Sus scrofa: one gene and its partners. The protein of the gene in region 4 binds, or shares a complex with, the protein of the main gene of each other region. Links are inferred from orthologs where the notes say so. Each region holds a gene or a part of one and is shown on either strand. Other genes may lie near its edges. The genes, in order: SF3A2, DDX46, PHF5A, SF3B5, SF3A3, SNW1 and SNRNP200.

Evidence for each region.
Region 1: SF3B5 (region 4) and SF3A2 share a complex: the UniProt entries of both Homo sapiens proteins name them as parts of the 17S U2 SnRNP complex. The link is inferred for Sus scrofa from reciprocal best matches to the Homo sapiens genes SF3B5 and SF3A2.
Region 2: SF3B5 (region 4) and DDX46 share a complex: the UniProt entries of both Homo sapiens proteins name them as parts of the 17S U2 SnRNP complex. The link is inferred for Sus scrofa from reciprocal best matches to the Homo sapiens genes SF3B5 and DDX46.
Region 3: the proteins of SF3B5 (region 4) and PHF5A are in contact, whole or in part, in a cryo-EM structure (PDB 7EVN), measured with the Homo sapiens proteins. The link is inferred for Sus scrofa from reciprocal best matches to the Homo sapiens genes SF3B5 and PHF5A. Residues at the interface, in NP_112577.1 of Homo sapiens: Arg4, Tyr5, Thr6, Ile7, Gln10, Leu14; in NP_116147.1 of Homo sapiens: Pro6, Asp7, Leu8, Ile9, Phe10, Cys11, Arg12, Ile88, Leu91.
Region 5: SF3B5 (region 4) and SF3A3 share a complex: the UniProt entries of both Homo sapiens proteins name them as parts of the 17S U2 SnRNP complex. The link is inferred for Sus scrofa from reciprocal best matches to the Homo sapiens genes SF3B5 and SF3A3.
Region 6: SF3B5 (region 4) and SNW1 share a complex: the UniProt entries of both Homo sapiens proteins name them as parts of the minor spliceosome. The link is inferred for Sus scrofa from reciprocal best matches to the Homo sapiens genes SF3B5 and SNW1.
Region 7: SF3B5 (region 4) and SNRNP200 share a complex: the UniProt entries of both Homo sapiens proteins name them as parts of the minor spliceosome. The link is inferred for Sus scrofa from reciprocal best matches to the Homo sapiens genes SF3B5 and SNRNP200.

The regions. Positions count from the first base shown.
Region 1 is NC_010444.4:76,403,300-76,407,936, reverse strand, and holds the start of SF3A2 (splicing factor 3A subunit 2), read right to left. Parts: upstream 3,056-4,637; 5' UTR 2,569-3,055; intron 1-2,568. Other genes in the region: PLEKHJ1 (pleckstrin homology domain-containing family J member 1), read left to right, coding at 3,230-3,323, 3,407-3,474, 3,634-3,700, 4,583-4,637. UniProt on the Homo sapiens protein: Component of the 17S U2 SnRNP complex of the spliceosome, a large ribonucleoprotein complex that removes introns from transcribed pre-mRNAs.
Region 2 is NC_010444.4:136,989,015-136,993,143, reverse strand, and holds part of DDX46 (probable ATP-dependent RNA helicase DDX46), read right to left. Parts: intron 2,438-4,129; coding exon 2,272-2,437; intron 1,572-2,271; coding exon 1,451-1,571; intron 889-1,450; coding exon 713-888; intron 1-712. UniProt on the Homo sapiens protein: Component of the 17S U2 SnRNP complex of the spliceosome, a large ribonucleoprotein complex that removes introns from transcribed pre-mRNAs.
Region 3 is NC_010447.5:7,069,657-7,074,397, forward strand, and holds the start of PHF5A (PHD finger-like domain-containing protein 5A), read left to right. Parts: upstream 1-1,488; 5' UTR 1,489-1,854; coding exon 1,855-1,906; intron 1,907-2,323; coding exon 2,324-2,347; intron 2,348-2,842; coding exon 2,843-3,009; intron 3,010-4,216; coding exon of another isoform or gene 4,217-4,261; exon of another isoform or gene 4,262-4,414; intron 4,415-4,741.
Region 4 is NC_010443.5:21,229,681-21,232,800, reverse strand, and holds SF3B5 (splicing factor 3B subunit 5), read right to left. Parts: upstream 1,538-3,120; 5' UTR 1,394-1,537; coding exon 1,133-1,393; 3' UTR 1,113-1,132; intron 1,004-1,112; 3' UTR 787-1,003; downstream 1-786. UniProt on the Homo sapiens protein: Component of the 17S U2 SnRNP complex of the spliceosome, a large ribonucleoprotein complex that removes introns from transcribed pre-mRNAs.
Region 5 is NC_010448.4:93,969,357-93,973,485, reverse strand, and holds part of SF3A3 (splicing factor 3A subunit 3), read left to right. Parts: intron 1-3,095; coding exon 3,096-3,168; intron 3,169-3,537; coding exon 3,538-3,629; intron 3,630-4,129. UniProt on the Homo sapiens protein: Component of the 17S U2 SnRNP complex of the spliceosome, a large ribonucleoprotein complex that removes introns from transcribed pre-mRNAs.
Region 6 is NC_010449.5:100,746,322-100,751,045, forward strand, and holds the start of SNW1 (SNW domain-containing protein 1), read right to left. Parts: upstream 3,094-4,724; 5' UTR 3,004-3,093; coding exon 2,990-3,003; intron 1-2,989. UniProt on the Homo sapiens protein: Involved in pre-mRNA splicing as component of the spliceosome. As a component of the minor spliceosome, involved in the splicing of U12-type introns in pre-mRNAs.
Region 7 is NC_010445.4:46,956,444-46,960,572, reverse strand, and holds the end of SNRNP200 (U5 small nuclear ribonucleoprotein 200 kDa helicase), read right to left. Parts: intron 4,060-4,129; coding exon 3,870-4,059; intron 3,773-3,869; coding exon 3,608-3,772; intron 3,384-3,607; coding exon 3,262-3,383; intron 3,020-3,261; coding exon 2,876-3,019; intron 2,778-2,875; coding exon 2,601-2,777; intron 2,350-2,600; coding exon 2,189-2,349; intron 2,107-2,188; coding exon 2,025-2,106; intron 810-2,024; coding exon 717-809; intron 618-716; coding exon 474-617; 3' UTR 153-473; downstream 1-152. UniProt on the Homo sapiens protein: Catalyzes the ATP-dependent unwinding of U4/U6 RNA duplices, an essential step in the assembly of a catalytically active spliceosome. Plays a role in pre-mRNA splicing as a core component of precatalytic, catalytic and postcatalytic spliceosomal complexes.

The DNA of each region.
Region 1 (4,637 bases), on a different chromosome or scaffold from region 4:
GCTGTAGCTGCCAGCCTACGCCAGAGCCACAGCAACGCAGATCCGAGCCGCGTCTGCGACCTACACCACAGCTCATGGCAACGCCGGATTGTTAACCTGCTGAGCAAGAGCAGGGATCGAACCCACAACCTCATGGTTCCTAGTCGGATCCGTTAACCACTGCGCCATGACGGGAACTCCCGAAAAGCACTACTCTTGATGCAGAACTGCTAACAATATAAAGAGACTCAAGGAATTGCAAGTATCAGAAAACAACAACAAAAACCAGTGGAACCTCAATGAAGGAGAATAATATTCTTCAAGATCATGGGAGATGTTACTGCACCATGAAACCTGAATAGCATGCCAAGAGTGAGTTTGGTGAATCAAAACCACGCAGACCCTTTAAAAGAAAAGACATGATAATCCAAACAAAAAATTGAACACAAGTGCTCTAAGGTCAGCCAAATAAAGCTTTCACACAAAACAGAAAAATGAAAAACAACCAACAACAAAACAAAAGGAGGCAAAGCAAGAAACCCTGGACCAAAAACAGAACCAAATGTGGAGAATATTATCAAAGGAATGACATAAGAACTCCAAAGTTAAAAAAGGTCCTAACACAGACACAAACAAAAAGACTCTCAAGATCACGAAATTTTACAACACTAAAAAAAACTTTAAATTTCTACTAGACAGGAAAAAAATGAGAACTGAAATGAGAAATCAGGACAGGATCAGATCCCTCAGAACAGCACTTAATGTAGAAAACATGCTATAATTCCACAGTTCCCACTGAGGGTTTCTTTTTTTGGGGGGGGTGGGGCTGCACCTGCATATGGAAGTTCAGAGGCCAAGGAGTCGAGGTGGAACTGCAGCTGCCAGCCTACATCACAGCAAAGGGGGATCTGAGCTGCATCTCTGACCTACGCAGTAGCTAGCGGCATTGCTAGATCATTAACCCACTTCATAGATATTAGGCGGGTTAACCCTCTGTGCCACAATGGGGACTTCCCTACTGTGGATTTTTAATCCAGAATTTTACTCCCAACTTTTTTATTTTTGTTTTTTAAGGGTCGAACCTACAGCATATGGAGGGTCCCAGGCTAGGGGTTGAATTGGAGCTGAGGCCGCTGGCCTACACCACAGCCAGGGCACCACCAGATCTGAGCTACATCTGCTACCTATGCCACAGCTCACAACAGCACCAGACACTTAACCCACTGAGCGAGGCCAGGGATCGAACCTGCATCCTCATGGATGCTAGTCAGGTTTGTTTCAGCTGAGACATGATGGGAACTCCTACTTCCAAACTTCTGACTGTGGGGGTAAATTAAAGCCATTTTCAGTTAACTGAGAACTCACAATAAATAAATGAGCTGACCTCTTCAAAAACTACTCCTTATGCTCTGATAAAAGGAACGAAAAAGATGGTCAGACTGAAAACTAAAGCCAGACCAGGGTAACCTGGACAGAAGGTTCTAGGACAACCACTCAGAAGCAAAGTGGGGGCTCCAGTCCCAAAAGCAGGATTAGGCCAGCTTTAAGAGGGAAATTTCCATGGGAGAAAGGAAAAAAGAAATCCATCTGTGGGAGTTCCCATTGTGTTAAGGACCAACATTGTCTCTGTGAAGATGGTTGTGTTCACTCCCTGGCCTCAATCAATGGGTTAAGGATCCGGCATTGCATCAAGCTGCCATACAGGCTGCAGCTGCAGCTGCCACTCGACCCCGGCCCAGGAATTTCCACGTGCTGCAGGTGCGGCCATAAAAAAAAAGAAAAAAAGAAAGAAAAAGCCATCCATTTGTTTAAATCTGTGGGAAAACACAACTAATCAGTGTGTGAAGTAATGACACGTTGAGAAAGAAACAAGCAAAACAAAACAAACAAACAAAAAAAACAGGCAAAGAAAATCAGGCTAACAGGAAAAGAAGAAATTAATTAGCTTTGGAGGACGATAGGAAAAACAGCGTAAGAAAAACAATACAGCTGAATACATTGCTTGCCTGAACAGCGAATACTATTTTCAGCCCTAAAAAATAAAACACGATCTGACAAAACTCACGATATCCACATTCAGAATATGGAGGGCGAGGTTGGAGAGGGTGGGTGGCAGATAGAAATGAAACCTCAAACCCGGCGCAGCCAAAAAGAATAACGTTATTTACAAAGCTGCTCTTGGTAGTTCTGAGCTGACAAAAGAACAGAAAAAAGAAGCGATCGGGCACCTAGTGTGACAGGTGGGGAAATCATTTAACTTTGTGGCACCGCTTGCCAAACGGGCCTGGCTAACGGGCCCTGGTGGCCTCGGGTGCGGTGCCAGGAGTTTCGCCGTCACCCCCACCCGTTACAGAAACCAGGTGACTCCCAGACCACATGGCCAGCATACCAACGGGCGACTGCCGGGGCACACGGAAAGCGCCTCGGGAGCTGCCGCCCTACCGGACCGGCATTTATGGCCCGAGCTCCGAGAGGGCGGGGAGCGGGCACCCACTCTCAGCCTGCGCCCCCGCCGACCGCCCCTCGCCCTCTCCCCTCCAGGGAACTCCCGGGGGTCTCCGCCCTAGCCCCTCGCCGCTCCTGACTCGCCTGCGCGGCCTCACTGCCGTAGTCTATTCAGACTCCACCGTAACCGCCTATTCTGCCGCCACAGCCGCCGCGACAATTTCGACAGGCGCACGCGCGCCAAGGGCTAAGGAAGCACTTCCGAGGGCAGGCGAGGCGGGGCCTTCCGTGTGCGCATGCCCAGCCCGCCTAGCGGCGCGGGGCAGACGTTCCGGATGCTGGAGGTGAGTGGCGAGCCGGGAGTGTGGGCCGGAAGCCGAAGTGCGCGTGCGCGTCGGCCCCCACCCTCTCTCGGTGGGCCTAATTCGCGGGGCCACCTCTCGCGGGATAGCGAGTTGCGTCTCGCCCCACCTCCACTTCGCATGCTCCAGGTCGCTTCAGTTAAGGGCGCCATGGGTCGTGGCGGGCCACCTTATTGCATGGTTGTATATGGCAACCGTCCACCTTGCTCACTATCCCGTGCGCCCCGTGAGGGTTCACGTTCTATCCAGGCGGCTCCCAGCACTGTACTGACACGCACCAGTGATTGACAGGCTGAGCGGCCGCAGAACGCGCAGGCGTAGTTGCCCGGGCTGCGCTTCCGGAACGGTGCGGTGGGACTCTTTTGGCGCCGGCAACGGCGCGAGTGGGGACGGCGGCCGGTAAGGCGCGGTTTTCGTTCCGCGTTCCGGGTCCCGGCGGCGCCATGCGCTTTAACGAGAAGGAGCTGCAGGCGCTCTCCCGGCAGCCGGCCGAGATGGCGGCTGAGCTGGGCATGAGGGGCCCGAAAAAAGGAAGCGGTGAGCGGCCCGGGGCGCCCAAGCGGGCGGCAGGCGGGGCTGGGCAGCCACCGAACTCGCGCGAGCCTTCCTTGTTCCCGTAGTGGTGAAGCGGAGACTGGTGAAGCTGGTGGTCAACTTCCTCTTCTACTTCCGGACGGACGAGGCAGAGGTTAGGCGCTGGGGAGGGCGGGGTTGGGGGTAGGGGGTCGGGGCGAGGGCGTGGGGGGGGACCGGAGCCAGGGGGCGGGGCCGGGGTCTGAGGCGTGGGACGGGCTTGGGTGGCTGGAGGGTTCCCCGCACCGCCCCTTACGCGTCCATCTGCCCTCAGCCCGTCGGAGCCCTGCTGCTGGAACACTGCAGAGTCACCCAGGAAGAGCCCAGCGGCTTCTCCATCAGTGAGTGCGAACTGCGGCCAAGCTGCCCGGCCCCGCCCCGGCCCCTCTTGCATCTCTACCGACAAAGTCCATTGTCCCGAGCAGCCCCACTCGCCCTGGCTCCTCCCCGTGGGGCCCAGGCAGAGCTTGCAGCGAGGAGGGCGGGAGGCAAGAAGTCTGACATCAGAGTGGGCGCAGAGTTGTGTATTTCTGAAGAATCATCTCTGTCTCACGCCTCTTCTCTCAGCTTCTGGGGCGTCTTTGGCTTTGGTTTTTTTTTTTTTTTTTTTTTTTTTGTCTTTTTAGGGCCGCACCTCAGGTATGTGGAGGTTCCCAGGCTAGGGATCGAATGGGAGCTACAGCTGCTGGGTTACGCCACAGATCTGAGAAGCCTCTGTGACCTACACCACAATTCACCGCAATGCCGGGTCCTTAACCTGCTGAGCGAGGCCAGGAATTGAACCCACAACCTCATGGTTCCTAGTCGGATTCCTTTCCACTGGGTCGTGACAGAAACTCCAACCCTTGGCATTTCTTATCTTGTAGAAGCGTCACCCCATCTTCGTCTCCGTTTTCACAGGATACTGTTCTCAGGGTGGTTGTGTCCAGATTTCACTTTCCATAACAACACTAGACCTGTGGGTTAGAGGCTCACCCTTCTGCAGTGTGACCTCACCTTAGCTACTTAGGACCGCAGCGACCCCACAACCAGACAGAGTCACGGTCCCAGAAAACGTCTTAAACGTTTTAAGACTTGAACATATATTTTGAGGGGGATACAGTTCAACTCAAAGCCAGCTAGTGGGAGGCAGTGAGCCCAGGCTGGGGCTGGAGGAGAGGACAGTTCTGGGTTGGGCAGAGGTGGGAGTAAGTTGGGGCAGAAGGGGGCTGCTCCCTTTGCAGGCTTTCTAGAGGACCCAGAGAGGAAGTACCACTTTGAGTGCTGCAGCGAGGAGCA
Region 2 (4,129 bases), on a different chromosome or scaffold from region 4:
TCGACCACCAGGAAAATACTTGGTTGACAAGAATGCAAATCATTCTCTACGGCAAATCACAGAGCAAAGGCAATCAAGTAACTCACTGTGCTGCAGAACTATGCCGTGGCTTCCGGAAACAGCCTTGGTCTGAGGGGCACAGGCAGAGGAGAAATGTACTGTGCCCTCTGCTGCCAAGAGAGGAGTTGAACAACTTTCCGAAACCCTACTCAAATTTTGGAGAAGAGATCTCTGCCAAGTGAATCAAGAAAACGGAATCTGAAGACCTACTCCTGAATGAAATGCTGGCACTACAGCCTTTTAAGGCAAATAAAAATAAAAAAAAAAAAAGAAGAAGAAGAAGAAAAAAAGAAATACACTTCCCTACAGTCTTATGTTGAGTTTATAGATCCACTGATATGGGCTAAGAACAAACCTCAACATAAATAAACAGATAGATGCACGAGGAGTCTACCTGCCAGGTCAGAGTTTAAAAACTGAGCTGTGCCAGGAGAGGCTGTTTTTGTACGTCTGAGATGTCACGCCAGAGCTCTGAAGATTCTCACTCCACCTGCTGGTAAGGGGAAATCAGCCCCAAAGTGCCAAATTTGTAAAGGAAATGTACATAAGACATCTTTATTGTTATAATTAACATTACAAAGCATCACGTCTCTCTGATTAACTGACAACAAAGTTGTTACCTGCAAAGAAAGTTTAATGAAAGGAATTGTACCTATTGGTCCCTCGCCTTCTTCTAAAGACCTCTGATCCATGATGTGTCTAAACATGGGCAACAGAAAGGCAATGGTCTTTCCACTTCCTGTCTTGGCAATACCAATCAAATCTCGTCCAGACATTATAGCAGGAATCGCCTGGGTCTGGATTGGCGTGGGCTTTTCATAACCATGCCTTAAAAAGCAAACCAAAGGAAGACAAAGTAAGAACTGTGATCTCTGGGCCTCTCAAAGTGTAAAGGTTTTCCAAAATGTATAACCATACGGTAAAACTTTCTTTGGCAAAAAGGAATGAAGTACTGAGACATTTTATATCATAAATAAATTGCTTCGCTAAGTGAAAAAGCCAGTCACGAGACTACATTATTATCTCATCCATACGAAATGTTCAGAATAGATAAATCTTTAGAAACAGTACAACAGTGGCTGCCTAATGTGGAGAAGAGAGAAAAAATGACAATGAATGGATACCGGTCTTCTCTTGGGACAATGAAAATGTTCTAGAATTAGATTATGGTAATGGCTACACAATCCCACAAATACACTAAAAATTATCAAATTGTAAGCTTTAAAGGGTAAACTTTATGGTATGTATATTATATCTCACTTAAAGCTCTTTAAGAAAAATAATCAAGTGTTTCCATCACAATAAAAATGTAAGCAAAGGAATTATTTGTGCAAAGGGCTATTTTGAGTAGCAAGATAATGAACAATGTGGACAACCACTAAACACTTACTTTTTGAGAGAATTTAAGATTTTCATGGAAATCCCACACTGAACCCAAGATTTAATTGGTTTGGGGCAACCTTTTCCTTTGACAGTAATGCCTTCCATTTCCAACCGAAATACATTCACCTCTGCAAAACAAAATCCAGATTAAAAACTCTTCAATATTGGTCTATATGAGTGCTTTCTACTTTTCCATTAGGCATGGTAAGATTAAGACTCTTTGACTTTTTCTTAGGGCTCCCAAAGGTAATTCCACAGAAAGGCGATATGACAAAGTGTTAAACAGCTCAAAGTGATTCGAGTAGCAACCGACTAGAGGTAAAAAACAGCCCCGTTTCTGCAATTTGGCTTCTCTTTTGACTTAAATTGTACCAACAATAAAAGAACAATGATTGGCAAGTTATACAACGACAGTTCTTCAAGCAAGACTTGCCCAAATTATCTTTATTCTTTCGGTATCACAACATTGACATTGGTTCCTAACTCAAACCTCAGACAAGGCTAACAATATCCTATTTGTTAACTGCACAGGATGAGTATTTTCAACCACAAACATTTAAACCACATGAGCCAAACTAATTTTTGCTCCTTTTTTTAATGTTTCCAAAACACACTAATTTCTCACTGCTGCACATCTTTGCGGATGTTGTCCCACTCTCTAGAATGACTTCTTACCTTCTAGTTCCCTCTCTAGTTGCTTAGTTCTTCAGGTAAGCCAGGCAAATTCCTCCTGCATCAACTCAGAGGCCTATTGACATGGCTCCCAGGTAAGGTAAAGTGTGTTCTCCTCTGTTCCCACAATAACCAATAAACGAATAAAAACGTTACCCTCTTGAGACATTTTTGCCAGTTCTGGAACTTCAACATAAAAATTTTTTCTGAATGGTTCATATTCAATTTTTCCATGATCGACTGGTTCTAGAAGCTTTCTCTGCTTTGTCTGATAACCTGTCAGGGCCGTCTGAAGATCAACTTCCTCCTCCTCTGAAGAATACTGTAATTAAAGAGAAAAATTATGAGCTAAATCCATTACTACTTTCCCCTTATGGGATTAAATACCCCTAGCTTTTATTTTTATTCTTATTTTTGGCCGAAGCCATGGCATACAGAAGTTCCTGGGCCAGGGATCAAACCCAAGCCACAGCAGTGACCTGACCTGACCCATAGCAATGAAAATGCCAGATCCTTAACCTGCTAGGCCACAAAAGAACCCTTCCCCTACTAGCTTTTAAAACCATTCTCTCCTGAAAAAGATTTTTTGGCTTTATTTTCTGAATTAGTTTAATTTTTTCTTTGCCTCACAGAAAGTTATAACAACAAGGTAGTTCCTGTTGTGGCTTAGTGGTAACAAACCCAAATAGTATCCATGAGGATTTGGGTTCGATCCCTGGCCCTGCTCAGTGGGTTAAGGATCCGGCACTGCTGTGAGCTATACGGTATGGGTCTCAGATGCAGCTTGAATCTAGCGTTGCTGTGGCTATACTGTAGGCCAGCAGCTGTAGCTCCAATTCGACCCCTAGCCTGGGAACGTTCATATGCCACAGGTGCAGAACTAAAAAAAAAAAAAAAAAAAAAGTTACAAACAGTAACAATATAAAACTAAAAGCTTAAATTAAAAAAAATAATTCTAGGAGTTCCCATCCTGGTGCAGTGGTTAACGAATCCGACTAGGAACCATGAGGTTGCGGGTTCGGTCCCTGCCCTTGCTCAGTGGGTTAACGATCCAGCGTTGCCGTGAGCTGTGGTGTAGGTTGCAGATGCGGCTCGGATCCCGCGTTGCTGTGGCTCTGGCGTAGGCCGGTGGCTGCAGCTCCAATTCGACCCCTAGCCTGGGAACCTCCATATGCCGTGGGAGCGGCCCAAAGAAATAGCAAAAAGGCAAAAAAAAAAAAAAAAAAAAAAAAAAAAATTCTAACATGGCTTTAAGGAAGTTTTGCTAAGTTCTCTCTATATAAATCTTTACAATGCATGTTAATAGAAAAAAATCTAATTCATTCTATCACATCATTTCTTCTCTCCCTATTCTAAGTCTGGGATGAGCTGATGATAGAAAAGGGTTACCCCATCAAGTGAGCATAAACATTTGCAGCAACACAGATGAAACTAGAGAATATTGTACTAAATGAAATCAGCCAAAGATAAATATTATATGATACCACTTATATATGGAATCTAAATAATAATATAAGTGAATTTATTTACAAAACAGAAAAAGACCCTGGAAGTTCTCTTCCTTGTGGAAGATCTGCCCTGGAAGATCCCAGGTGAAGGATCCAGTGTTGCTGCAGCTGTCACACAGGTGCAACTGCAGCACCAGTTCAGTCCCTGCCCCAGGAACTTCCATAAGCCATGAGCATAGCCAAAAAAATGGAAAGAAACAGGCCCAATAAAGAAAACACATTTATGGTTACCAAGAGATACACATTACTATATATAAAATAGACAATAAGAATTTTGCTGGAGTTCCCGTCGTGGCGCAGCGGTTAGCGAATCCAACTAGAAACCATGAGGTTGCCGGTTTGGTCCCTGCCCTTGCTCAGTGGGTTAAGGATCCTGCGTTGCCGTGAGCTGTGGTGTAGGTTGCAGATGCGGCTCGGATCCCGCGTTGCTGTGGCTCTGGCGTAGGCCGGTGGCTACAGCTCCGATTCAACCCCTAGCCTGGGAACCTCCATATGCCGCGGGAGCG
Region 3 (4,741 bases), on a different chromosome or scaffold from region 4:
TTTAAGATAAATGATTTCCCTTTAAACCATATGGTTTAAATTTTAGCAATGTAACTTTAAAAAAAAAAAAAAAAACTTCTGACAACACAATACTTTCTGAGAGTACAGTACACTACTTCTTTTTAAATTCTGCAATAATAGTTGTGCTACTTGATCCAATGTAGATTCACAAATTTAAATGTAAAAGGTTGTCGGAGAATGCTTGCTTGATTTTTTATTAACGAAATACGTTCTTGACATTGAACCTTTGAGTGTAACATCTTCCTAGGGTTGTCAAGTCAGGAGTGAAAAAAAAAGAAATGGCAGTCAGTCAATCTTCTAGATGGTTCAAAAGAGGACAGTCAAGGTCAAACTGTTGAGTCTCTTTTACCCTCCCCATCTAGTAACTGAAAAGCAACTGATTGTGAGCTCAAAATACGCCATTCTGGAACTCCCACAAATACAAATGTCAGCTCCAGGACCACACTCTGGCTCAAAAAGTTCTGTGAGGGCAGGCTGAAAGGGACAAGGAGAATGGGGAGTAGTAGGGCAGATGCTCAGGCCACAGCACTTTGGTAAGACTCAGAGAGCAGAACTTTTACCTGTTTTCTAACAGCGTCATCACCTATCAAATAAAAATAATCATCTCCAGAAATGATGATATGAATCAAACGATGTGGTGAGGAATTAAGTCTTGCAATCTTGTGCAAAGCTGAGAGACTACTGTCATCATTACTATTTGCTACATCTGGGCACGGAACCCACCCCCTCGAATTCTTGGGTACATGTTCCGCAGGATCCCCACAAGATGGAATAGGTCATAGTTTTTTTTTTTTCCCCCCCTACAGACTCCATGTTTGGCAACCGTAGATGCACCTGGCTAGCAACTCTGTGCTACTGAGATGAAAAGTGAGGCCTTCAGGCTCTGGGCCTAGCGCGCTTACCAACCACCGCGCCCCCCAGTCACCTTGTCCTCACCTTGAGGAACGGGGGAGGAAAAAAAAAAAAAAAAAAAAAAGCCTTACGGGGGAAGAAACTGCGGTCCTCAAAAATGAGAAAGACGTGCCTCCACTCTTCACCCGGCCGCCGCTTCTTAGGCCCTTGCTTCCAGCGGGGCGGGGACAGGGCTGAGAGCTGACTGAGCCGGGGACGCCCTGACCTCGGGCGCCAGAGGAGCGGGTATTTGCGCTGGGCCCGCGCAAGGGACAGGTACGCGAAAAGTCGGCCGGAGGTCAGGCCCGCCTCGCCTTGCCTTGCCCATAGCCGCAAGCGCAAAAGAGGTACCCCGCCCCCGTAAACCTAGAGGGCTCTCGGTTCGCTCACCTGCAGCCGGGTCACCAGTAGGCTGTAAGGCGCCATTTTGTGCACTGACAAAGATGAGGTCGCTTGAAAGTGACGTGACACGCGGCTTATTTAAGGCCTTCGGTGAGGGGCGTGACCTGAGGAGAAACGCGTCACGCTGAAGGCGTTCCCGCGAGCGACGTGGGCGGAGCTCCAGAGTCAACCTGGGAATTGGGAGAGAGCTGCCTAAAAAGTTGGGGTAGTAAATACCCGGCACAAAGATATCAAAGTGCAAATTTCGTCTTTGCGCTCTGCAACTTGTCCCTCCCATTCAAATCTGGGAAAGTTTTTTTTTTTTTTTTTCCCTAAATGACCCGCACACCCCTACCAAGACCTGACTCCCCCACTGCCAACGGGAATTCGTCTTCGGAATTTAAGTGCTTTGATCACGCGAGAATGAGCGGGGCTTGGTGCAAAGATTGCAAACGCTGATGGACGCCTAGAGAACCAATCAGGGCGACGAGGAGGCAGGAACAATCAGGGTTAAAGGTCTGGCGGAAGCTCCCTAAGCTTCCGGTGGTTTGAGCGCGAGCGATGGCTAAGCATCACCCGGACTTGATTTTTTGCCGCAAGCAGGCTGGTGTTGGTGAGACGGTCTTCTGCCCCCGGCTGTTTGGGTGGGGATGGTATTAGGACCTTAAGAGTCCGGGGTTCCCATTACTCCTTTAGGGTGTTGCTTCGGAGGCGCCCCGTTTCCCGCCTCGCCGCCGGTAGTGTAGGAGCGCGTGGGTTTGTGGGCTCAGATGAAAGGGGGGCGGGGGCGCGCGTGCTGAGAGCTGGAGAGGGGCTGCGGAGATAGAGAAATTCTCAGTTTTCCCAGGACCTGGGAGGTCTTACGAGGGTGCGGATTTGGTTCGGATTGAAGTTTATGAGAATACGATGGTTAAGACCTCTCAGGGCTCACTGCAGACCCTGTACCTGTCCCCAACTCAAGCTCGAGGCTTTTGTCCCCTCTTCTAAACCTTAATCCTAATTGTACTCTTTATCACCTTTGATCTTGCAGCCATTGGAAGACTGTGTGAAAAATGTGAGTGGAACACGCTTCTCCAAACAGCCCACCCCTCCCACTCAGCTTCTATAGTGGCAGCAACGGACATTTTCAGCGGTGCCACGAAGAGGGCTTTGGATAGACATGATTGGAAGCATGTTAATACAAAGCCAGACTGCAACTAAAGGCCACCTTCCCGCTCCAACTTGTACATTTTAGGCACTGTATTTAGGTTTTGACAAAACCTCTAGCTTTGGACCAGAAGTAGCATGACCCTGCCCCCAACACACACAGCATTCTGCCAGTCAATTATATAGACTTATCTACCGACTGCTATTCTAAGCCCTTTATATTAATTGATTAGCTTTCCTATGTGTTGGGGAGATTGAGAAATGGACGCTAGGTAAACCAATTTTATAATGCCAAAATAGAGGGCTAAAGTCACTGTCAGAAGGACATAGTGTTTTTACCCATAGCAGGAAGAGGACCTGAGGTACTTGCAAGTGGGCGTAATTCAACCTCTTTTCCTTACAGGTGATGGCAAGTGTGTGATCTGTGACTCCTACGTGCGTCCCTGCACCCTGGTGCGCATATGTGACGAGTGTAACTATGGCTCTTACCAGGGGCGCTGTGTGATCTGCGGAGGCCCGGGAGTTTCAGATGCCTATTATTGTAAGGAGTGCACCATCCAGGAGAAGGATGTGAGTGTATACTAAGCTTTTCCTCTGATCTTTCCTTTCGTTTAGGAACACTTGGCCATCCACAGCAGACTCCTATGGTCAGGAGATGGCTGTTCAGCCAGTCACCTAGGTTATAATTTTCAAGTTCTGTAAACCAAACTGGGTGTACTCCAACAAAAGGTAGTTATTTTGCATCAAGTACACAAAGGCGAGAAAAGCAAATTTTTGTCAACACTGGCAATTTGATGTCTTTCTCTCTCTCTTTTTTTTTTTTTTTGGCTGTGTCCACATGTGGACGCTCCCAGGCCAGGGATGAACCATGCTGCTGTTGTGGCCTGTGCCACAGCTACGGCAATGCCAGATCCTTAACCTACTGCACCACAAAGGAACTTTCTCTCTCTTTTTTTTTTTCCCCCCAGAAACTATGCTGCATTTTTAAATCATACCACAGTGCATGATGTGCAGAAGTCACTAATTTGTGCTACCATTAAGGAACGTTAGGGTGGATGTGATGACTTTTGAATTTGGGACAGTTCAAGTTCATTTCAGCTCTGAGTGGCTAGAGAGTGCCTTTGGTTGATTTTGCAGAATTGATTGTAATTCTTGCTCATGGCATTTTTGCCCCTTGACATTTTTTTGGTGCCAGTGGCTTTTTTTTTTTTTTTTTTTTGCTATTTCTTTGTGCCGCTCCCGTGGCATATGGAAGTTCCCAGGCTAGGGGTCAAATCGGAGCTGTAGCCACTGGCCTACGCCAGAGCCACAGCAACGCAGGATCCGAGCCGCCTCTGCAACCTACACCACAGCTCGTGGCAACGCCGGATCCTTAACCCACTGAGCAAGGGCAGGGATCGAACCCGCATCCTCATGGTTCCTAGTCAGATTCGTTAACCACTGCACCACGACGGGAACTCCGGTGCCAGTGGCTATTTATTCAACTCTTTGAGCCAGGATAGAGGGCTTGTAGATCTATTCCAAAAGCAGGCTTGGGGTAGGGGAGGTTAATCAGCTTTTATTCATATGACACAATAAATAAAAGGAAATGTGATATAGTACCAGTAGACTATTTATTATAAGGTATCTGGTTACCTAATCTAGGATAAGGCATGAGATAAAATATTTCTTAATTTTTCCTTGTGCAAAGAATAGGTAGTTTCTATGTGGGTATTATCTTCCATATTCTTCACAGTAACTTTGTTAAATAGGGATTATTACTATCCCCCTTTTACAGTCTGTCCTGCAGCTAATAAGGGGCAAGCCCCGGCTGTCTGTCTAAACCTGGTGATAGCTGCAATACACCTTATGGTCCTTTTGGTGGGATGTGCCTGGTTGACGAGAAGCAACTCAGCAATCTTTACATTTGGATCCTGTCTACCTTTAATAAGTGGGACATGTCACACCAAATAAAACTTTTTTTTTACACCATTAAGTCTTCTCTTATTTAGGGAGATGAGAAAGATCATAAAGTACCAAAGACAAATTTTCCCTTGGTGATGTGAACATTCTCCTGTCCTAAACTCTGATTTGTGTTTACTTTTGATTGTCATATCATACCTGTTTGATCTGATCCACCAGGTAGATTACACTCCCTTTACAGAAAGAAGCTTGGTTTTTGTGTTTGTCTCCCCTTTTCCTCAGTTCAAAGTATAATCCCTGCGTGTATTGTAGTATGGTCCACATTTTTGTCGCTACCCCTGTAAGTCATCCGTAAGCGTTCCCCCTACAGGGTGTCTGGTACATAGTAGGTGTTTGGTAC
Region 4 (3,120 bases):
ATGGATTTTTTTTTTTTTAGGGCCACACCGGTGGCATATGGAGGTTCTCAGGCTAGGGACTGTATCAGAGCTGTAGCTGTTGGCCTGTGCCACAGCAACACAGGATCCCTGCCATATCTGCCACCTACACTGCAGCTCACAGCAAAGCCGGATCATTAACCCACTCAGTGAGGTCAGGGACCAAACCTGCATCCTCATGGATCCTAGTCAGATTGTTTCCGCTGAGCCAGGATGGGAACTCCTGAGCATTCTACTTAAAACTGCAACCCTACTGCTACTCTCATTCTCCACAGCACCCTCCAACATGTGCTTGCTTATGTCTGCAAATTTTGTGGTCTTCTGCTCCCCCAACCAGTGTAATATAGGTCCTTAAAGCCTGCCACATAAAATTCAACACGTATTTGCTGAATGAATTTAAGAACTAATTTGACAGTTTGTCAATACTCAAGATATGTCCACGTATTTCCAAAAGAAAGAGGTGTAATCTACAGAGAGAAGGCAAAGCGAGTCAAGATTTTTTTTTTTTGTATGAAAGAAAAAGGACACAGTGATCACAAACCTCAATAGTGAATGTGTTAAGGGCCTGAGAAAAGTTCCTGGGAGAAGTCAGGGTTGGAGAATATTATAAAGAGCGTATTTAAGTGTCTGGCAACGAACTTTGGCCCTGTGCTACTGTTGAACCCCTCCCCAACCCTTCCCTTCTTTATACCCCCCGCCACCCGGCAAACCACAGTCCCAGAGCCCTCCTTGGCCCCTCCACCAGAACACAAGTAGTCCACACCAAGAGACCGAAACATTTCTAAACTTTATAGAAAAAGCAACGAAGACAGTCAACTAGCCAAAAACGAGCCTCTTAATCCCATCTCACTCCAGCCATATCTCCTCTAACGTCTGCAGACTTTAGGATCTCTCCACTGTTCAGTTTCTCAGGGGTTATGACGGGTCTCCCAACACTTTGTTCCACAGGAAGGCAGGTCGGACGGAACGCCCCGGGTAAGGACCTCTGTACAAAGAAAGCACGAAAAGCAGAGCTATGAAGAATCCGTCCACTTGGGAGAGGAACCCGCGGGAATGACGACAAACCGGAGGAACGCAGAGAGGTGCTCACGTACAGCGGTGAGACGGTGAGGTCTCAGTTCTCCTCCGGTTTGTCGGCGGGCGGGCCGCAAGGCTGCAGCATCTTCTCCATCAAGTTGAAGCGGACTCGCGCTTTGCTCTCATTCTCGGCAATGGCGAAGTAGTTGAGAAGGTCGAAGTGGCCCATGTAGGAGCAATAGGAGTCGCGGTGCTGGTTCACCAGCCACTCCCATTTGGTGGTGTCGGCGTGGCCGGTGCCGATGTATTTGGACTGCAGATGCTCTAACTGGCTGTGGATGGTGTAGCGGTCTGTCATCTCGTTGCTTTTTCCTTTGCTCGCAGGTCAGAAGCCGCAGACGAGAAGAAGCCGCTCTAAGGTTTCAAGCCGGAGAGGAGCCACCCGCCGGAACCTCTGTACACGCGCGGCCGCAGGTGGATGGCGTCACAGCGACAAAGCAGCGCGACTCGCGGTCCCCGGCCTCCCAGGCGGAAGTGTATTCTGTCACGGAATTGGAGTTGCCTCGGCAACGCTACCAGTGGGCCTTCCCTATAGAGAGCCCCGCCTCCTTCGCAGAGCGTTGCATGCTGGTCCATCTAGCGGCCCTTTTCTAACAGGAGCTTTGCATGCTGGGACTTGTGGTTTCCGAGGGTTGGTTCGCAGAGACTTCTTGGGACCTCTGTGTGTGGGTTTGAGAGACTGAATGGACTGCGGTGTTTGGGAGGCAGGAAGCATCCTCGGGCGGATGGGGGGCCGAGAGGAAGTGGGAAACAAGTAGTACAAGGCTGTAAGCAACTGGGGAAAGGAGCTCTTTGTGCAATTCCGCTTTCGGAGCTACAGAGGGTACAGTAGCCGTTTCACAACCAGGGGTGGATCACCCTGAAGTCAGGAAACTCAAGGTCTGACCCCAGCCATGTCTCTTACAAGTTGTGTGGAAACTTCTTTCATCGCTTGCGGGGCCGCCGTTTCCCGCCTAGTGACCTAAGTACAGCACCAGTTCCGACACATTCAGGCCCCCACAACAGGCTCCTCCTTTTGAGCTTCTAATTTTGACATCCTCCCAACAAGTTTCACCCCACCTACAGGCCCTCAGCCTCTACTTCTCAAACGTTCCCGTGCTGCTCTCTCCAGTTCTCTGTACGAGCTGTTCCATCTGCGTGGAATGCTTTTGTTCCCCTGGCAAACACTTCTCCCTTTTAAGTCAGCTCGAAAGTATCTCCCTGAAATTGACTTTGGCTACTCCAGACAGATGTAAATTCTTTTCATCCTGTACATCTCTTTGTTATTATCACTTTATATCCAGTTTTTGGTTTAAGAACTTCCCCACACGAATACAAACTACTTGAGAAAAACTACTTTTTTGATGATGTCTTTTTTTTTTTTTGAGGGTGAGACATCTATCTACTTGATCTATTTGTAGCATGAAATCCACAAAGAAAACCCCAAAATGCGAAGTTCAATAAATTCAAATAGTAATATTTTTAAAAATATTAATGAAAAAGAGATGATGTCTTGTATCATATGCTTCTGTTATGCTAGCCACAGAGCCTCGCAGAGATTGTTTCTCAAAAAACATCTGATGAATGGATTAAAAAAACCTGTATGACGGCCAAATAAATTCTTTACTGGGAGAAAGATAACTTTAAAGTATCTTTATTCTGGTATAAAGTTACGGTTAGATAGGACTAGTAAGTTTAGAGCTCTATAGTTAACTATAGTTAATACTGTATCAATACTAAAAATTGTGAGGAGGTGAATATGTTAATTAGTTTGTGGTACCATTTTATTGTGTATATGTATATCAAATCATGTTGCACCTCTTAAATATATATAATTTTTATTAAAAAATTTTAGTGGTAAAACAGTTCCCTCTGGGATCAAATGCCTGTACCAAAAATTGGAAAAAAAAAAAAAAACTTCCCCCTTAAGTGTGAACTTGGTTATAACAAATATTTCATTTCTGAAACATAGAGGTTATTATAAGGCATACCTGTGGATTTACCATCCAGATATATCATACCTTGCCATTTTGCCATTTTCATTTC
Region 5 (4,129 bases), on a different chromosome or scaffold from region 4:
ATAACTAGCTGACATACTACAACTCCAGTGCTTTCAGATTCTCCCTAGGTTTAAGCTAAGGCCATTCTCTTCTTAGGCAGTCCCCAGCCAGAGACCGAGCACAGAGGCAGGTACCATGGCCTGGTTATTTCTGCCCAACGTGAGACTCTTCTAATGAGGAATATTTGCTCCAGAGCTCCCCATTGTGCTGAATCAGAGGGTAGCTGTCTGCATCATGGTCTAGGATCTCCCCGCCCAGTCCTGCTCTCCTTTTTGTCTTTCATGGGTAATAACCCCCAAAAAACTGCTTATGCTCTTAACTCTGTCTTGAAATCCGCTGCCCAGATGATCCAACTGGCACAAAGAGGCTTTTCTCATTCCAGTAATCATTACACCTTCACTATTCAGCCCAGAGGCCAACTCTTTCATGAAAATTCTTTCCTAGTCTACCCCATCCCTCAGTTAGTCTTTCCTTACTTTATGATCCTTTCATGTTTTGTGACAGTGAGTGTCTGCCACACTATATTGTAAAATCATGAAGAGCGGGGATTACATCTCAGTTATCAAGAACCCGTTAAGCATTTGCAGAGCTGACCAAAGCTTGGCTGTAGGAGAAGTGGAGAGGGATGAGTCTGTGATTACTCTGAGCTTTCATGACTCTAACAGAAATGTTGTTTGTTCCCTTTATGGAAATAAGGAAGAAGAAGGTAACCTATTTGCACTGGAGAATGAGTTTTTATATATATAGATTATCAGGTGTTACAACATCTAAGTAGAAGTGTGCCATAGGCAGTTGAAGTTGGGTGCCTGAGGCTTGAAAATTACATCACATGGACTTGATGGTTGTAGCCGCGAATCAGAGTTTTGGGAGGGGGAAACGATGTGAAGGGAGCCTGTCAGCTTCTGCGTGCTTTGGGGCACATTCAGAATAATGTATTTAGCAAAGGAGGAGCCTGAGAGGCCTTCCGTCATAGGTCACATGGCAGCTCCAGGTAACATCATACTCTTAGCAAACGAGTTTCAGAAAGGCAGTCACTGATATCAGCTGTTGTTGATTGGTAACCACCAGAGTCGTGCTCTGCTGAAGTAGTGAGAATGGAAATCTGGTCACGGGCGCAGGTGGATAATGGAGAAATAGTAGTGTGCCGTGTTTAACATGCATTTGAAAGATTGGCAGATAGGAGTTCCTGTCGTGGCTCAGTGGTTCACGAATCCGACTAGGAACCATGAGGTTTCGGGTTTGATCCCTGGCCTTGCTCAGTGGGTTAAGGATCCGGCGTTGCTATGGCTGTGGAGTAAGGCCAGCGGCTACAGCTCCGATTAGACCCCTAGCCTGGGAACCTCCATGTGCCTCGGGAGCGGCCCTAGAAAAGGCAAAAAGGAAAAAAAAAAAGAAGGAAAGATTGGCAGATAAAAGGAGAGGAGAAGCAGAAGGACCCTAAGGAAGATAGGGAAGGCATACGCATTTAAAAAGGTAGATGGAGAAATGAAGAGACCGAAAACATCAGGAGAGACTATTTATTGAACCTAAGTGGAAGATGAACGTACCCTCCTGTACTTACGTGTGTCTCCTCACCCCCTTTGGAGAGTAGCAGATCTTTTGCTAACCGGGAAGGAAGACAAGAGGACCATTCTGGTGTGTTAACCTTGTCCCAGCCCTGGTAGAAGGGTGACAGGGAATAAGTGGTTAAATAAATGATTGGAAGGATGCCTAAGATATACTAAGGGAAAGGAAGGTAAGTCCAATTATGTGAAAAACAATAATTTTGCCCTTGCCGGTATCTGCTTGCACTAATACTTATATTTGAATACATAGAGCAGTGGTTTCCAAATTTTGCTGCACATTTGAATCTGAGGGCTCTTTGAAAAGTACTGTTCCCTAACCCCCACCCTCTGATTTAATTGGTATTAAGTGCATCGGGATTTTTTTAGCACTTTCCTCGGTGATTCTAACATGCAGCAAAGTTGGAGAATGGCTGGCTTTTAAAATAAAGTCTGGTGGAGTTCCCGTCGTGGCGCAGTGGTTAACGAATCCGACTAGGAACCATGAGGTTGCGGGTTCGGTCCCTGCCCTTGCTCAGTGGGTTAACGATCCGGCGTTGCCATGAGCTGTGGTGTAGGTTGCAGACGCGGCTCGGATCCCACGTTGCTGTGGCTCTGGCGTAGGCCAGTGGCTACAGCTCCGATTCGACCCCTAGCCTGGGAACCTCCATATGCCGCGGGAGCGGCCCAAAGAAATAGCAAAAAGACAAAAAAAATAAATACATAAATAAAATAAAATAAAGTCTGTTAATGGTGGTTATCTTTTCTTAGGAAAATTATTAAAAAGGGGCTTTGATTTTTTTTTTTTTTCATTTGTTTTTGTATTTGAGCTTTTGTGAGCATGTGTTAAACTGTGCAAAAAGGAAGAAACAAGGTAATTAGAAACTAGAAATAAGCTCCTGATGAAAAAGCAAGGCCAAATAAAGCATCAGAAATCCATTTCTATACAGCCCATTTCTGTGATGGTGCAACTTTTTTTTTTTTTTTTTTTCTTGCTCTTTAGGGCCACACCCACAGCATATGGAAGTTCCCAGGCTAGGGGTCCAATTGGAGCTACAGCTGCCAGCCTACACCACAGCCACAGCATTGTGGGATCTGAGCCTCATCAGTGACTTGCACCACAGCTTATGGCAACGCCAGATCCCCGACTCACTGAGCGAGGCCGGGGATCCAACACAAATCCTCCATGGACAGTAGTCAGATTTGTTTCCACTGCACCACAACGGGAACTCTGATATTAAAACTTTTTTTTTTTTTTTTTTTTTTTTTGTCTTTTGTCTTTTAGAGCCGCACCCATGGCATATGGAGGTTCCCAGGCTAGGGGTCAAATCGGAGCTGTAGCCACCAGCCTATATCACAGCCGTAGCAACGCAGGATCCGAGCCACATCTGCGACCTACACCACAGCTCACGGCAACGCTGGATCCTTAATCCACTGAGCAAGGCCAGGGATCGAACCTGAAACCTCATGGTTCCTAGTTGGATTTGTTTCCACTGCGCCACAAGACAGCAACTCCTGATATTGAAACTTTTATGTTGAGTCATCTCTCTGAGCTTTTCTCTTTTTCGTGTCAGATCTGTGTGCCAATGTCAGTGGAATTTGAGGAGCTCCTGAAGGCTCGAGAGAATCCAAGTGAAGAGGCACAAAGTAAGCAGGGTTTAACATCTCCTCCCAGCACTAGCAGAAATACAGGTTAATGACAGAGCTCAAATTTGGCCTCAGAGCCCTAGAAAATAGCCCCAGAGAAACGTATAGCCAGGTTCCCTTAGCGATCTCTTTTCTGGTTTCTGGATTAGATTGTCATCCTAAATTGGCCTTGGACAAAATTTGCTAGCCCAGCTCAAATTCACTGACCTGGAAAGCCAAGATGTCCTCACTTTGTGAGCATGGGGAGGATATTTGGGTCAGGGGCTGCATTATGAACCAAGGAACTAGCAGTCCACTCGCTAGTGGAGATGTCACGTCCAAGAAAGTGGCCTTTAGTATGTGAATCATTGCTGTCTCTGATCCCTCCAGATTTGGTGGAGTTCACAGATGAAGAGGGATATGGTCGTTATCTCGATCTCCATGACTGTTACCTCAAATACATTAACTTGAAGGCCTCTGAGGTAAGACCCAGGAGAGGGGGAGAGTGGCTCTGATTTGAGGGGTGTGTCAGGACACTGGACGGGGGCTGCTAGACTTGAAACAGAGTGTCTTCCCTGAGTTTTGTAACTGTTACATAGATATTAAAGAGGTGGCATGTTTTCTTGGAGTGAAACCATTTTCAAAATGAAAGTTGGGTTTCTACAGTGAAGACAATTATATTCTACTTATAAATTTAATTTTATTAATATAACATTTTGCTTATGTAAAATAAAAAAATGTTTTTAACTCGCAAATACTCAAGCTCCTGTGTTAGGCACACAGAGTGGTAGGTACGTGAAAGATATGAAAATGTAATCTTCACCAGCAAGGGCTATTTAATGTCCTTTTTTTAAAGATATTAAAAAAATAACTCACCGTAAGAGATGAGTGAGGTTTTTTGTGGTTTTTTTTGTTTGTTTGTTTGGTTTTTTTTGTCTTTTTAGGGCCACACCCACAGCATATGGAGGTTCCCAGGCCGGGG
Region 6 (4,724 bases), on a different chromosome or scaffold from region 4:
TCCATGATTCCCCTGGTTTGGGTTGTCTCCCTATAGTCTCAAAAGACCCTCTGTGTACCACAATTATAACATCTGTCTTACTGTACCACAATTATCTACTCATTTACTCTTTCTCTCACTAGACTTTGGGTAACCTGAGGGCAGGAACCACATCTTCTGTTTCTGCCACCCCTAACTCTCCAGGAATTATCTAGCTAGCTCATGGTTGGGCCTACTTAAATATTGGCAAGAGAAATAAATTCACTCTACCCTTTGCACTCACCATTTTTATGTCACTACAACCTTACTGCCTTTCCTTAAACAAGTCGTCTCAGGATCTTTACATTTGCTTTTCCACTGCCATAAAAAATTCTATTTACTTATCAAGAAAACGCTTTCCCAAACTTTTTAGTGCTTGTTTCTTAGTATTCATGTCCCAGCTCCACTATACCTCCCTCGCAGCTGCTAAATGACCACCTTAACCAAAACAGCATTCCACTCCACACTGAGTCACTCTCTATCCCTTTATCTGTATTTTATTCTTAGTACTTAATACCTGAAGTTGCATCATTGATTTGTTTACTCCTAGTCTGTCTCCCCTAGAATGTAAGCTGTGAGGATAAGACTGATTCAATGCTGTAAAACCAACACTAGCCTTGCACATGGTGGATTTTCAACACATGCATATTTACTGAGTGAATGAATAAATGGATGGATGAATGGAATCAAAATTCTGGGCTTTTTGGTAAACCATGCAGTACCCAATACATGGGAGGGATACAAAGACAGTAACAAAGAAGCCAAAATATTTGTTTCATTTCTCTTTTCTTTTCTTCCTCCCCTCCTTCCCCTTCTTTCTTTTTGGCCCCACCCACGGCATACAAAAGTTCCTAGGCCAGGGATCAAACCCGAGCCATAGCAGCAACCAAGGCCACAGCAGTGACAATGTGGGATCCTTAACGCACTGTTGATAGAACTAGTTACTAAAATGATCAAAAAGCAGGCACCCTGCCAAAGCAGAGTTTGGACAATCCAGTAAACAGGTAGCCTGACCTGGATTATGGTGAGAACACACCGTAGCCTTCCAGAAGGTCTTAATCTCCTTGTTCCCCATAAAGGATGACATTCCCATAATGAAATACACTTCTATAGTGGGAGTGGGCTGCATATGTAAACAGAAAGTCTACTTCGGTGTTTCTCAACAGGGGGCAACTTATCTACAATGTAGATACTTGACAAGGTCTGGAGCTATTCTGATTGTTAGAATTTGGGGGGTAAAGGGGAGAGAGGGAGTGAAGGTGCCACTGATATCTAGTGAGTAGAGGCCAAAGATATTGCTAAACATCTTAATATGCCCAAGACAAGAACGAAATATCCAGTCCAAAATGTCAACAGTGCCACTGTACAGGCACCTTAGTCTATCTTTTCCCCTTTATTAAAGAAATTGTATTAAATGCAAATGAAATTATTTGATACATAACCTTAAATACAGGAGTTCAGAAAGTTAAATCAGTATGACTTTAGATCTTTAGTTAGTAACAATCAACTGTGATACCAAGACTGTAATACATCAATATGTCAAGTCCCTGCTGTTAAGAATCCCTGGTAGATCTTAGAGATAATAATATTTTACCTGAAAACTTGAGACCATCTCTAAAAATCAAGTCAGCTAAAACTCAACAAAACCAGAAAGCTATGTAAGTTCCTAAGACAAACTATTTAAAGACTGAACTCTGTCACTGCAATTTTAAGCACAAAATAACCACAATATGTCTGGTATTTTCAAATTCCATTTTTTCCACAAAGCCTTTCTTCCTAATTCTACTAGTCTTTGTCACACTGCCTCCCATCTGGAGGGCACTCAATCGAATATTTGCTGCCTGCAACCTTTATTTACTAAAGAAAACTCTCCAGTTCATCTAGCCCATTCCATCTTATTTTTTTGCAATTAAGGTTAGTACAACACAATAAGCATTCTGTGTTGTCCTTTAATATCTATATTCCTGTACTTCATCTTCCCTGCAGCCAAGGACTGTCAGATTTCCTTCTATATATACACAGTCCCTAGGATAGACCAAGGCACCCGAAAGTTATCCCCCAAAGAACTAATTCGAATATCTTTAGGATTCTTAACTGTCATCAGCCAGGAAAAATGTGTATGAGGGGAATGAAGCGTGTTTAGGGAGTCCAAGCGGATCTCCTAACACGACTACTTTCCTTACCCTGTTTGACACCCAACTTTTTCTGTTTCGGCGTTTGTTGGTAAGAAAAGTTTTTCTTCTTAGATGGGGCAACAAGGTCGCAGACTAGTAGGAGTTACGTAACAACTAGGAATATTTCTCCTTAAGCATCTTTTTCTTAAGGGCGGGGACCACTTTACTTGCGGTTGCCAAGGCAACTGGGAACAGCAAAAATGTGAAGTAGTTCTATCTATGGAAGAAATGCTAAGATCCGATGTTAAAGTGCGGAGCAGCGGCGCGAATTAGGAGACAGCGGCCACTACTGTGGCTGATGTGAAGTCTCCGTTCAGTGTCGGGCCCCGTTTTTCAAGGAATCCTTGTTTCGGGACAGAGAAAGAAAAGACTTCGGCAAACAAACGGCCCGGCCGTCGCCTCCTGCCCGCCTCACTCCGCCCAGACAAATAAGCCACTGCCCTCCATACCCCCATCGCGCCCACCCGAGCCGCGGACCCGAAGGAGCGATCTCCACCACCCCAAAATGCTTAAGCGAAAAACACGTGCGAATCCTCAGCATCTCAGACCAGAGAACTATTCGCCATGCCGCGGCTTTCGGCCCTAGTGAGGGGGCGAACTCAACCCGGGAAGCCACTCGGGAAAGACCCCAGCTTCGGAGAGGCCTAGTCGTCCCGGCGGCTGGAGGGAGGGCTTAGCCTTGGCCTAGTCGCTCTGTGGCCCGGGCCTGGCTACCGCCCGGAGACTATAAACAGAGAAATAAAAACGGAGGGTACTCCCAGACCCTTCCGTATCGAGGACCCCAATCAACAACCCACCTGGTGAGCGCCATCTTCTTCCGCTTCTTCCAGCGCGAGCGACAGTACCGCGGGGCGGGTCTTTACCCGCGAAGGGTTGGGGAGAGGAAGGAGCGCGCGATGCGCAGGCGCCCTAGCCGAAGGGCCTTCTGGGATTTGTAGTTCTTTGCGCAAGATTACAATTTGGTTCTTTTCTAACCAGTTACAGAATAAGCGCTTCAGTTAAGAAAACGCAAATGCATCACTCTTACACTATGACATGATACAGCATTCCCTAGGCAAAATACTAACAAATTTGAGATGTTTTTTAAGTCTTTTTTTATTCCCCACTCTGTCTCATTTCTTTTGTTATGGTTCCAAATACAAAAGCCTTCGGGGGGCGGGGGGGGGAACGTTAAATAAGAGTTGGGTTAAATCAAATGGTTGGGAAATTGTGAGACTGGAGAATAGAGAGTTCTTGGGCGCTCTGAAAACTTTCATACTCAAAAGTTTTTACACGCGGTTCCCTACGTAACACTCCACCTCCAAAACACTCTCCAGGGGAGGTATTTTGTGATCCTTAGTAATTATCTTTGGAACACTCCTTAGGTGTATTATGTATGTATGTCTTTATGTATGTATGGCTTAGATTGTCTTTTACATAGTTTGTGGGTTCAACATAGTCTTTGATGAAGTGATAGGATAAACGAAATCTTCACAGTGGGAAGAGGGAGGTGGATGGAATATACTGTAAATGAAACAAGGTTAGCTATGAATTTTAATCACTGTTGAAGCTAGATAATGGGGAAATGGTGTTCCTTATACAATTCTCTCTACTTTTTTATACGTTGGAAACTTTCCATGGTATAGAAACAAACTTTTAATAGTAGCATAGCACACATACAGAAACGTTGCCTACAGAAGTGTATAGTTTGAATATTCACAAACCAAACACCGTAGTATGAGCAGAGGCAGCAACACCACCTCCAACTCCACCTCCAACTCTTGATTTCTGGTGTGACACGACGTTCTAGGCTAGTTTAGTACTTTTTCTGCCCTAGACTTTCAATCAGTCATTTTTCCAAGGAGCTTTCCTTTAAGTGGAAAAGTGATATTTAGAGAAAAAGACCTGGATGCTACAAATGCTCACTGTTACTGGGCAATTGCTGTTTGTAAACCTTTTCAGTGGACAGAGCTAGAAAGTTCACATATCCACATACTTTTTTTTTTTTTTTGCCATTTTTGAGGCCGCTCTTGCGGCATATGGAGGTTCCCAGGCTAGGAGTCTAATCGGAGCCGTAGCCACCAGTCTACGCCAGAGCCACAGCAACGTGGGATCCGAGCCGCGTCTGCGACCTACACCACAGCTCACGGCAACGCTGGATCGTTAACCCACTGAGCAAGGGCAGGGACCGAACCCGCAACCTCATGGTTCCTAGTCGGATTCGTTAACCACGGCGCCACCACGGGAACTCCCAATCATACTTTTTGAGAAACTCCATCATGCATTCATACTAATAGTTCCAATGCAAGATTAGGATTACACAGATTTTACCTAACTTTGATTTTATATGCATATCTCTTCTGAAGATGATGGTATTGGTACCTAATGTGTTAAGATAATTACTCATTTGCTTTATCTTATGTTATATATGTATATATATAATGGTTTCATAATAAACTTTTCTAATATGATGACTAAAGATATGCCTAATGATAATAGTTTCTGAATTTTTTTCAATGACTTTTTTTTTTTTTTTTTTTTGGTCTTTTTGCT
Region 7 (4,129 bases), on a different chromosome or scaffold from region 4:
GGGCACAGCCTGACTGAGGAGAAGCTACCAACACTGTTCCCTCCACACTGACTGAAATAGCTCAGGTGGCGGCCTAACTGAAGGGCGGCCTCATCCTCCAGAAGCATTCGCTGTGAGCAAGTCCACTGGCTGAGAAAAAAACAACCCTTATGTTAGAGAAAGGAAATTTAATTTGGAATCACTGCAAAGACAAATGGTTTTTCCAAGTCATTTTACTAGAATGTGCCCCAAAGGAACTACAAAGAACATCCCTAAAACCACTGTGCACAGTTTATGCTCAGCATCTACTGCAGACACTGGATCCAAAGTCTGGCTGTTGAAGGAGCCAGAGGAAAGTAGTGGATGGGCCGGGACTGTAGCACTGACTGGCCAGACTTCACACAGACCGGGTCGCCACTATGGAGGTCCCATACGGGGTGCAGGTTCCTAATTCAGGTTCAACCCTTCCTGTTCAAGAGCAGGTGCCTCTGGACTCAATCTGAGTCACTGTCTGTCTCAGCTTCTTTCACATCCACACTGAATTTGTACTCCTGGTCACACCCCATGTAGGCGTCACTCATGAAGTACAGAGTGTAGTTGTGGGCACCAGTGGCCGGGGCCACGAAGTCAAGCTTCACCTAGAGAGAGCAGGTAGAGCTCAGGGTGAGCTCCGATGCAGAGGAAGAGTTCTCACCCTGCCCACCTCAGAACGCGCTGGGGCCAGTGGACACACTCACCTTGGCCTTCTGCTGCAGGGTCAGCCTCTTGATGGAGATGAGGCTGTTTGACTTGGCATCTCCAATCACCACCCACCAGCCCTCTTCACGTTTCTGTAGTGACCAAAAGCCAACAATTTCAGAGTATTAAGACTTGATGGGAGTTCCTGTCGTGGCGCAGTGGTTAACGAATCCGACTAGGAACCATGAGGTTGCGGGTTCGATCCCTGCCCTTGCTCAGTGGGTTGACAATGCGGTGTTGCCGTGAGCTGTGGTGTAGGTCGCAGACGCGGCTCGGATCCTGCGTTGCTGTGGCTCTGGCGTAGGCTCTGATTCGACCCCCAGCCTGGGAACCTCCATATGCCGCGAGAGCAGCCCACGAAATAGCAAAGAGACAAAAAAAAAAAAAAAAAAAAAAAAGACTTGATGGCCATGACACCAGGAGAAAAGAAAGTTACAACAAAAACCAGAAAGAAAGCTTTCTAAAATTTCTTCCCAAAATTAATTTAAGATTTTAAACTGTCTAAAGGTGTCTCAAGAGAAATCAACTTTTAGGTAGGTAGGTGAACTCATTTGTTGGTTCTGGCTCCTTTCCTGGTCCAAGTCCCTTCTCCCATTCAGTGCTTGCCACTAAATCCAAGATTCCACGATTAGACATCTAGTCTGTGGGGCCTGGCAACCTGGACTTCCTCAGAGACCCTTTCAAGTGAAAGCATGTATGTCAGAGGAAAACATGGCAACATGGAGATGAGCCTGCCAGTGAAGAGGATCCAAAGCAGGCCTGGCCTCCATAAAGAATCCCTCTCTGCTGGCTGCTCCTCTGCCAGAAAGCCCAAGAATTCCAGTTAAAGTGCTCTTTCCTCAGAACCTATTAAACACATTTATAAAATTAAACATTAGTGTATCTAGTTTCTGCTTTCAGCCATCAGTCATTCTCCCCTGTAAGGGGTCAGATTTCCTTTTGGGCAGTAAAGAGCCAAGCTACTGGAAACAGTATGTAGCAGTGAGAAAGGGGGGAGAAGAAACACCAGCTAGAAAAGCCCAATTATCCTGGACCACTTAGAGGTAAAGATAAATGATTCTTCATAGCCATGGATATCGACGGCACTGCACAACTGGGACTTTGAACCAGTCACCTAAATTGCTTTAAAGCAAAAACTCCCACCACAATCACCCATGGCCCCAAGATTAATCCTCACCCAAATGACTTGGGTATTACTCTAAATACCAAATACCTGGGTATCACTCCAGTGACTGTGGACCCCTTGGCCCAGACTCTAGCCAGCTAGTAGGGCCTCAGGGCAGCCCTGGTAAAGCTAGTAGCCGTACCTGTGGGAAGAGAGGTGCGATCACAGGGCCTGTGACTTCTTCCTCTCGCTCCAGCTGCACCAGCACCACAACTGGCCCACCACTGCAGGGACAAACACAAGGTATGCATCAGAGCTGTGCCCAGTGGGGACCCTGGGGGAGGGCCTTGGCCCTCTCTGGCTCACCTGCGGATACTGTCCTTATCCACCACTTCGTAGGACAGCTCGATGTTGGGGTAGCGGTTACAGAACCGGGCCACGTCTGCAATCTGGCTGTCTGACAGTTGCAGCAACGCGTTGCGCTCCTCATCTTCCATCTCCATGATGTCGAAGACACTCTCCACCCCCTGCAGTAGGCGTTCAGAGGTCAGGGAAGATGAGGGAATGCAGACTAGCAGCAAAGGGAACTGGCTCCAAAGAACAGCTGATTTGACTTCCTACACTACCAGGTCACCTAAAGACTCGGCCCACAACCATCAGGCTCTCTAGCATCTCCGTGGGTAACACCTTCAGAAAAAGTCTCCCCTCCCACTACCCCCGCCCCAGCACAGGACACTCAGGCTCGGCCACCAACACTCCAGGCCCAGGCCCGGCTCACCTTGTCTGTGCAGCGTTTGATGTGCTCTGAGGTGAAGTGTGGCAGCTGTTTCAGGTATGAGTCCTTGGACCACATGGCCTGCGTGACCATCTGGGCCAGCTCCATGGCTGCCAGGGCTGGGCTGAGCCAGCCGTTGCTGGAGAGGACATCCACACAGGCCTGGATGAGCCGGATGGCCTGAACACGGGTAGGAGAGCAAGGGAGGGTGGTTCAAAACTGCTGCTTCAGATGGCACGTGGGCCACCCCTGTGCCCAGCCCCGTGCCCAAACAATACCTTGCTAAGGATTTCCTCTGTATCCGACTGCAGCTCAGCACTCAGCTGCATGCGGGACAGGTGAGCCTGCAGAAGCAGGTTGGTCTTCACGTGTGGGTCGTTGAACTTGGGGTTATTCAGCTTGTGGGGGACCTTCTGAGCCAACTGGAATGTGGAAGAAAAAGAGCCGGTGATGAAGAGGTGGCCCTGCTCTGGGGCCCACAGCTCCACCTGACCCAGGCTCACAATACTTCACAACACAGGGGCGGGTGGAGGGGTGCATCTTGGGGGCTGAGACGTGTGTGGAGGCAAGTGAGGCCTGAGCCAGTGGCGACGGGGGATCACGTGCTGTGGGCACACCGCCAAGTTTCAACTCCAAGGGTGTTCTGAAGCCATGACAGCCTCACCTGCCGAAGCAGGTTGTCTTCATGGTGTCGGATGGGAATGTTCTCATACTCAGCCGCATTGGAGATGATCTCAATAAGCCCTCGCACCTTGGTCTTGGCGTTCAGGGACATGCTGAAGAGCTCTGGGAAACAGGGAAGGAGATGTGGGAGGAGTCAACGCAGACAGAAAAGGAGCAGGGAGGAGAGTTAATGCCTGGGCTACCCCACCTCTGCCCGCATTGCTTTCCTCTGGCAAATACACAGGGCCCGGGAAGGCTGTCATAACTCATCCCTCTGTGCTGCAGACCCCGCCTAGGGTCCCTCTAAGCTCAGGTTCCCCTCAGACCAGCCCCCGGTGGCCCCGCACCAATGGTGGTATAGTTGATGTAATAGTAGGCAGCAATCATGCCCAGGTTCAGAGGCGCCACGTCCATCTCGTCCTCAATACTGATGCACTTGGACTGCTCCAGGTCACTCAGGGTCTGTTCCACAAGCTCTGACAAGTGGTCAGACAGGTGACGATGGGAGATGCCTGCGAAGGTGAGAGGTAAGCGGGGAGTCATGGGGAGGTGGCAAGCAAGGGCTGTGGAAACCGCAAAAGGATAACATGTGCTCCTAAGCCCGCTGACCCTGCAGGTTGTAATAGTTGGGGTTCTGTGTCATGCGGCGGTACAGAAAGGTCCAGGTGAGGTAGTCCACGGCGTCCTGCTTGTTCTCGATGGTCTTGGTGACAATCTCTGCATTGAAGTGGTCATGCATACAGTGGTCCAGGTGAGACTCTACTGGCAAAGGCTCATATAAGAACTTTTTGAAGAAATCCTATAGGAAAGAAGAGTCAATGACAATATGGTCACCAAAGAAAGGACAAGGGCAAATCCACAGAGGATGG